Linked DNA regions of Neodiprion lecontei. The protein of the gene in region 2 interacts with the protein of the main gene of each other region in a pairwise test. Links are inferred from orthologs where the notes say so. Each region holds a gene or a part of one and is shown on either strand. Other genes may lie near its edges. The genes, in order: 40S ribosomal protein S2 and programmed cell death protein 2.

Region 1 (4,342 bases), about 19 Mb from region 2:
GATGCGTGAACGAGAATCATTACTATTTTATATAAATATTTTCGTGTGCATGTATACAATTTGGAGTATTCCAGTTCAGTACCTAACTGGGTAACTGTCATATTCGCAAAACGATTGTTTGTATTAGATATGTAAGAATGTTATTTTGAATTGTTCTTGTGCTTCTACACGTATCTCACTGTAAATTCTAAGTATAAGCGTGCTCATTAATATGTAACCGGTATTTTTACCGACCGCGTAAACGTTTATACAACCTAATCTAGTTTTAATTACTTTTTCATGAAATCTTGTCATTGTATGCTTGAATATAATGAACCTTAAGCTAATCGTAATCCGACAGAAGGGTGTCATATTTATAGCGATCTGATAATTCTTAGGTATTGTATGTGGCCTTCTGCAACAAATCATGCATAAACTAATATAATAATTAGGAATATAAATGAAATGAATCCCATGGTCAAACATACGTCAATTGAAAAAAACATGTTATTGGAATATATTATTTAATATCACAAAATTATTTACCGTCATTTAGGCTATAGGTTACCAAAACTCTAAATTTGATAAAAATTTCCCGTATTAATTTGAAGAACATTTGTTTTGCAGTAGGTTATCATATTAGCACGAAAATTAACATAACACAGTCAATTGAAATCTCTTTTTATACATAAAAGTTTTGAATATATTATAGGAAGAGGATACGTACAACAGGAAAAGAATTAAGCAAAACAAGTGGTCATTTTAATTATCCAAGAAGATTTATTACTGTAACAACCAGGTCAGGTTTTTTGTTTTTTTTTTTATACAGTTTCAGTGGGACGCGGACCAGTGACTGGACGATGATTCTTGAACAAGTAATCTGCGTACTCTTGATACGGAGCCTTTGTGAGGACCATTTCCTTCCACAAATCAGGTGTCAAGTAAGCATACGTCTTAGCAATGGCTGCATAAGTAGCTTTGGCAAAGTTTCCAAGAGTTCCAGTCGATCCTCTGGCTGAGGTGTAGCAATCTTCGATACCAGCCATCTGCAAAAGCTTTTTGGGGACTGGAGCAGAAACTATACCAGTTCCTCTAGGTGCTGGGATTAGTCGCACCTGGACAGAGCCACACTTTCCAGTTACTTTACATGGCACGGTATGTGGCTTTCCGATCTTGTTTCCCCAGTAACCACGACGCACAGGAACAACCGACAATTTGGCCAAAATGATGGCTCCGCGAATTGCAGTAGCAACTTCCTTTGAGCACTTCACGCCAAGACCTATGTGACCATTACTATCTCCTATGGCGACGAATGCCTGTAAAACATTACTAAGTAAGAACTGTCATATGTACGATGAACTTTTTTCACTCTGGAGAAAGTGATCATAGCTTTTACTGCACTTTATATAATAAAATTGTACTACTGTACCGGGTAATCAACTATATACAGTTTATAGCACGTGCCAACTTGTTTAATCGTTACATTACTTATTAAAGATTGCTTTACCTTGAAACGAGTACGTTGACCAGCCCTAGTCTGTTTCTGTACAGGCATGATTTTCAAGACTTCATCTTTCAGAGACGGCCCAATGAAGAAATCGATGATTTCAAATTCTTTGATGGGTAGAGAAAAAAGGTAGATCTCTTCCAGAGTACGAATCTTCCCATCTCTTACTAATCGTCCCAATTTAGTAACTGGGATCCATTCCTTGGCATCTTCTTTACCACGGCCACGACCACGGCCTCTACCTCTACCACCACGGCCTCTTCCTCTTGGACCTCCTCGGTCACCCCCAGCTCCACGAGAGCCAAATCCCCCACGAAAACCACCACGTGCTGGTGCTGTGGCTGCGGCTGGAGCTGCGTCCGCCATACTGAAATAGAGTAATGTTGACTTTAGCTCACTAGATAGTGACAAATGTATTTCTGATTTCCTAAAAAATTATAGACATATTGATTTTCATGCTACACGGCAGTTCGAAAATGGTGTATACAAGTTAGTGAAGTGATTACGCTTCTCGCCTTTCAAAGAATTGGAAGTTGATCGTGAATTTAGAGAAACGAAATTTCGCAGACGTGATTCGTTTAAAACAGAATTCAAGTTGCTTTCAGTAAAAGGGAAGATTGGAACTCTTGACAACGAATCGGCTCCATTAGAACACGTGGCGTACGTATGCGATTCTAAATTGAATGATATATGAAAAACTTCAAAGCAAAACCAGTCAGGCTGATTATAATCATAATAAGAAACATCAGTATATTCTTAATTTCACGATTCTCACAGTTTTTGGTACGTTATGACGCGTAAATTCAACAAATATCAGCAGCGTTACTTACTTTCGATTCCTTTGATAAACACGGTCACCAAAAGAAAGAACTTCCTGTGCCACCGGATCTACTGACGGCGCTAGAATCGTCCCAACGCTCCATAGTCGTTGCCTTAGCCGGCGGTAGATGGAAACAATGCTGCCATAAGCTTTCGAGGCTCTCGGGTAACCTGTAAAACTTTTCTTTCAGAAGTACGCTGGAGCCCACGTGCTGTGTTCGGCATTTAATGTGCCATTTCGCAAGTGTTAAATTTAATTATTATAGATCGTTTGATATTGCAGTTCAGCTAAAATGCAACACGACGACGTGAGTAAAGATACACGGTTAAATCTGTCAGACGATGTTTCTCAAATGGAAACAAAACTAACCTAAAATATGTTTTAGGTTGTCTGGAGTATTATAAACAAATCGTTCTGTTCCTTCAAAGTCAAGTAAGTGGAATCAACGAATACCTAGTTGGAACGAATCAACATTTATCCTTAGTAATTGACGACATTGTTAATTTTCAGCACGAAAAGTCAGAGGTTTTGTAGAAATGAATACAACCTGACTGGGCTTTGTAGCCGTGCATCTTGCCCGCTTGCAAATAGCCAGTACGCGACTGTACGAGAAGAAAATGGGATAATTTATTTGTATATGAGAACAGCGGAGAGGTAAGCATAGTGTTTAAATTTTTCTTAGTAAATATTCTATCGCAATACTAATGGTTGTTTTTATTGCTTCTACAGGGTTGCATTTCCTACCAATATGTGGGAGAAAGTCAAATTGTCCAGAAACTTTGAAAAAGCAATATATCAGATCAACGAAAACCTAATCTATTGGCCTGGATTTATTAAGGCTAAATGTAAGCAGAGGTTTGTCAAAATCACTCAGTATCTTATTAGAATGAGAAAACTGAGGCTGAGGAGGCAAAAGAAGCTTGTACCCCTGCAAAGAAAAATAGAGAGAAGAGAAAGACGTAGAGAAGAAAAAGCTCTCATTGCAGCAAAGTTAGATACAGCGATTGAGAAACAGCTTATGGAGAGATTGAAACAAGGAATGGTAAATGAAATCTTCAAATTATGTGTTTTCTATATTATTTAACTCTGAAATTGTATTTTCAAATAATTATGGGGCCGTTGCTTTTACTGTTCTTGTCTTTCTAGTATAACGACATCTACAACTTTCCTCAAAAAGTTTTTGAGAAAGCTGTTGAAGAAGTTGAGGTTGAAGGAGAAAGCGAGGCCGAAAGTGAAGAAGAGGTCAGTGTGAACAAGTTGTCCAGTATTTCTCATATTGGGTCAAATGAAAACTTAAAATTCTCAGAAAGTGACATGTCATACTGCTTAGAGACTCGCAAGATCTGTCACCACTTCATTTCTCATATAGACTTTAATTATTCTTATAATAATCTCATGAACAGGAAAAAGAAGAAGAAATTGAAAAGGAGGTTGAAATGGAATTGGAAGCTGAGGAAAATAATCAAGAATTCGTTGTCGCTGACAGTGATGACGACGATGACGACGATGATGATGACATTGATGTACACGAAGCTTCTCAGGTGAAAATCGATCATAAGTTTGAAAATTGAATTAAATAATAAATCATGTTTTTGATTTTACGTTCATAACACAGTTGTTTAAGTAAGTCAATAAATTATATTCCAGAATGAAGATAGCGATTCTGGACGCAGAGAGGAGGTGCAACTTTCCGACAGTTTTGAATCAGATGCATCAGATATCGAGGTATACATGTTTTTATCTTTTTTCATCTTGGTAAACTAATTTTCGGATTGTCTGACCTACTTGAGTTCATAAAGTCAAAACTGGGTCAATTTTCTGATAGTTATATGATAATTATGCTTATTTTAGGATGGCGTACCTTCCACTAGTAAGAAATTCACCAAAAACACTAAACCATCGAAATCATCAAAACCTGGGAAAAAGAGCAAGAAAAGGCCGAGAGTGGAAATTGAATACGAAGTGGAAAATGAGCCACAACGAAGGGTGCGGGCTTAGGATATTAATTTATTATAATAATATCTTAAGAATCAAGT
Region 2 (4,148 bases):
TGTGTTACGAAGTTGCTTCTATTTGCGTAGCAACTTTACATCTAAGATATGATTTTAGTACCATCTTACACTTCAGTGTAAAATGTGCATTTTTACTTGAGACGAATCATGTTTTTTATATTGGAACGAATATTATGTAGTTGGAGTTTTTTTAGTTTGTCCTTTTTTACTATAATTTCAAACGGGGTCCTTTTCGGTTATGTATACACCATGCATCATGTAGTCTATGGTAGTGTGATCAAAAACCTAGAAATTTTATTGCCCATTTATTTTGCATTGATTAAATATTTTTAAGCAATATTGTGAACTTCCCAAACGTGAAATCCTAAAATTTCCATTGATTTCAGAACAACTTTCATTCTGTTTGCAAAGTCTGGAAGTAGTGTCAAAAGTTACTGTTTCAAGTATATCTAATTAATCAAGTAGTTTTATATAAAGGTGCTGTGACAATTTAAAAAATAATGTATTTGTTCTCATGATCATTACGCTCATTTCAAGAACTTGCTGCGTATAATTAAGAAAAAAGCGTTCTTGTATTAAGTATAGGAATATAAGTAATTTTTACTTAATATGATGTGTATATGAATCCAAGATAAGTGGTGTAAGCAAGTATTTTTGTTGTAGTCCAATCTATGGAACTTGAAATACTTATTCCCAAATATTTTTTTAACTTTATGCAATGTGAAAGAAATAAAGACATATTTTTTATCTACCACTTATCATAAACTTTCTTTATTCTCTGCATCTACAATATCTTGTTTCCACACATATTCTGTGACGTAACCGTTCGCTGTTTCACATGAGTTTTTACATGTAAAGATAGCCAATATTCCCCAATCCAGACTTTCCAGCGTATCCTCAAATTGAAGGTAATTCAAGAGCTGTGGCATAATCTGTACAAGAACTTTGTATTATATATATACTCAGAAACTGGAAAGCAATGATTTTCTCAGTTATATTTTTATCCATACAGACCTGAAACTCAAATTGCCTTTCGCTACCACATTCTCGACAATCTGGAATTTCTTGAACTTGATTTTCGGACGATATATACAAGACATTACCACCCCTCTCATACCTTTGGTGGAATATGAAATAAAATAAATATAATAATGTACATATTAAATCAAGTTGCTTATTATTGCTGATAGAGGGAACAATTTGTGATCCAGTATACCTCAAGATTTGATCTGGATATTTCTTCACTGTAGTGGTAAATTCGAAAAAAACTTCATCTTCATTTGCTGCAGACATTTTCAGTAAGTCAGCATCAACATTATCTTCATTTTGAAGCGTGCCTGCCTCATTATGAACTATTAATTTTTCATATTCTATTATTTCTTGATTTTCATCAACCACATTTTCACTTCCTGAAAGTTGATCATCGTTTTCCTCTGTTTCAACAACGATTTCATACTCAGGTAGTAACAAATTAGATTTTGCCGCATCCCAACTCATTCCACAATAAATCTTATGGCCATGTGTCCAGTCATAAACTTGATGTTCCCGAGAACAGTAATTTACTTTTTTGCATTTGGAACAGTGACTAGGTGCATTGAGTCCGCATACATAACATGATTTTGTCCAAGTCTCTGTGGCTGCAAAATCAAATTTAAGAACAATATAGAATAATCCAAGGAATTAAAGGATAAACAAAATATCATTACTTAAATATGATGGTTACGAATGAAATATGGTTAAAAAATGGAGTATTTAGAATGCCAACGCATACTTATGTCTGGTCTCCACTCTTCGGATTCAATTGGCGGGTTGGATGGATAAAACTTGTTATCTTTTTCTAGTTGCGAACGAAAGACTTTCAAATTACTGTTATTATTTGGTTTACAACATTTCGGGTTTCTGCAGATGAAAATAAATATTGTCCTATGGAAGGCCTTTGCATTATTTTCGTATGGTGCATAGATTTGCATTAAAAATATGCATGGCTGTTTGCAAAATTGACACTCAACATCCTCCTTACGAGGAATATCTTTCAAATTTAGCCACGCAGGTTTACCCCCCACTTTACTAGGAAAGAATCTACTCGCCAATCTCCATTCTTCGCAGTCTTCTATAAATCCGATATCAATTCTACCGATTTTATTTTCCATTCTTTAACTCAACTCACTGAGCGAATTAAACTACTTGTTACTCCACGGTGCTCCACAGCTTCGTACATGTGTTTAACGAAGGTTTAACCAACGTTCAGCCGATATATAAAGACGGATAACCCCGGGTTATTTTGCGTAACAGTTTGCCGGGTCTGGCCGGGTTTGGAGGTATTAGCAGTTTCACGTATTATCAACCAAGCAGTTGACCACAGCGGTGAGAGAAGTTCTTCTTAACCAACTACTACCGTGTGCAAAACGTGGGTAACATAGCGTCGTCATAGTGAAATTGAACAGTTAAGAAAATCCCGTTTAAGAAATATCTGTAAGTGGTCGGAGAATTCATACTTCGTCTGACGTCGTATGTACGGTAATGCTCTAAACATTTGATCGCGTCGCATGTAGCTTACGTGGGTTTTCACCGGGCCCTTGAGACCGTAGAGATATAGGTATAAAATATAACGTATCAACGGCGCAAGCGTCCCGTGAACGACTTCAAATCGGTTCTCTAAAGGACAGAAGATAATAATTTTCTTGCCCTCTCTGTCGCTCTACCCATCGAGTGAGGGCCACGAGATGAGAAGAGCGCCGTGCGGCATCAGTTGTTTCGGAGCAATCGGAGCGAAATCATGTGTTTCCAGCATCGGTTCAACGTTCAGACCGCGGTGTTCAGGTTGTGTCACGTTGTTCGATCAGTGTATTTTCACCATGCTCATCTGTGAATAATACACGAGGAGCAGCGTGTAGCCTGAAGAAAAACTGAGTTACTGAAATAAAAACGTCCTGCGAAAGTGAAGGTGAATTTCGTGTCCCGAGTTTTCATTGTTTTGTGTAACTTCAGATTTCAGTGATATCTGTTTGTCCTCTGTGCGTCGAATGTCAATATTATTATTTTTTTGGCTGATTTTCGGCAAATGCGCAGTTGCATTGTTAGCAAGGTTATTCAGTCGGTTCAAACAGACAGATACAGTACAAAAAGTGAGTGTAGGATCGAGTGTTATTGCGGTGCGGATTTGTGCATTATAAGAGATTAGTGAAGATCTGAATTATCTACAAAGTGCGACGCTTCACCAATGAACCTGAGATGCTACAAGAACTACTACGTATAAAAGTGTGGAGCAACCCAGAGTCGAGGTAACAATGCTTATTTTAATTGATTGATAATTCAAGGTGGTACATCGTATAGAGCCGAACAGGCCAAACTTTTGTTCTTGCATAACATGCAGTGGATGTGAAACTAAACTGTAATAATTAATTTGCGAACTGAAAAGCCAATTTGTTAAATTAATACTATTGTTTTTTACAGATTTAAGCAGAGACTTCCGAGTAACTTTTCCATTTCTCGGCAACGTTGGTGAGTTTGCACGTGTTAGGTTATCGGTATTTTTCCCTGGGATTCCTCTGTCACGTGGCGTGGCGGTAACAATTGTTACACAAATCTTCGATTTCTTAGCTGCATGGATAGGCTCATTCACGATCGCAACGTGCTTGACTTTCAGTCGAATAATTGTTTTTTCGCAATTTATTTTACCGTAGCTTACTTAAAGGTAGAAATTTTACACGTTGCTAAAAGTGGAATGAGCATCGCGACAGGTAACCATCACTTACTCGGCACTCGCGAGATCGAATTGTGTTTCGTAAATGATGTAATAATCTACTTTTAAATTTATCCATGGTGTCGTTAAAATGGTGGTTTCACCTGAGGTTTGAACGTATTCAATTATTCACATTATTGTTAAATCGATAAAATTCCGATGTCTGGCATAACGTAACGTAATCAAAATGCATCTGATGTTATGTATCATTTTCAATCTTTTAACAGCCAACAAGTATTGATCAACTGCTGGCTTAGCTCGCTTAGAAAAATGCTAATTGGCATACAGGATGTTTTTAATCAATTTTACAAAATGTTAATGTACCGATAGTCTGCCAGCATTTACTAAAATAATGCGTACAACATTAGGGTTGGCGGGAACAACCGCGATACTGTATTCCGAGTAGGCAGACTATGATACAAAAACATTTTACTCGAAACAGGTA

The links.
Region 1: the proteins of programmed cell death protein 2 (region 2) and 40S ribosomal protein S2 interact in a two-hybrid assay, tested with the Drosophila melanogaster proteins (2 studies listed by BioGRID). The link is inferred for Neodiprion lecontei from reciprocal best matches to the Drosophila melanogaster genes Zfrp8 and RpS2.

Annotation. Positions count from the first base shown.
Region 1 is NC_060265.1:4,273,202-4,277,543, reverse strand, and holds 40S ribosomal protein S2, read right to left. Parts: upstream 2,367-4,342; 5' UTR 2,317-2,366; intron 1,854-2,316; 5' UTR 1,853-1,853; coding exon 1,487-1,852; intron 1,296-1,486; coding exon 801-1,295; 3' UTR 737-800; downstream 1-736. Other genes in the region: protein MAK16 homolog A, read left to right, coding at 2,599-2,613, 2,692-2,738, 2,817-2,960, 3,036-3,348, 3,453-3,548, 3,710-3,847, 3,954-4,031, 4,158-4,304. UniProt on the Drosophila melanogaster protein: Component of the ribosome, a large ribonucleoprotein complex responsible for the synthesis of proteins in the cell.
Region 2 is NC_060265.1:23,291,000-23,295,147, forward strand, and holds programmed cell death protein 2, read right to left. Parts: upstream 2,191-4,148; 5' UTR 2,112-2,190; coding exon 1,733-2,111; intron 1,599-1,732; coding exon 1,178-1,598; intron 1,079-1,177; coding exon 976-1,078; intron 894-975; coding exon 720-893; 3' UTR 717-719; downstream 1-716.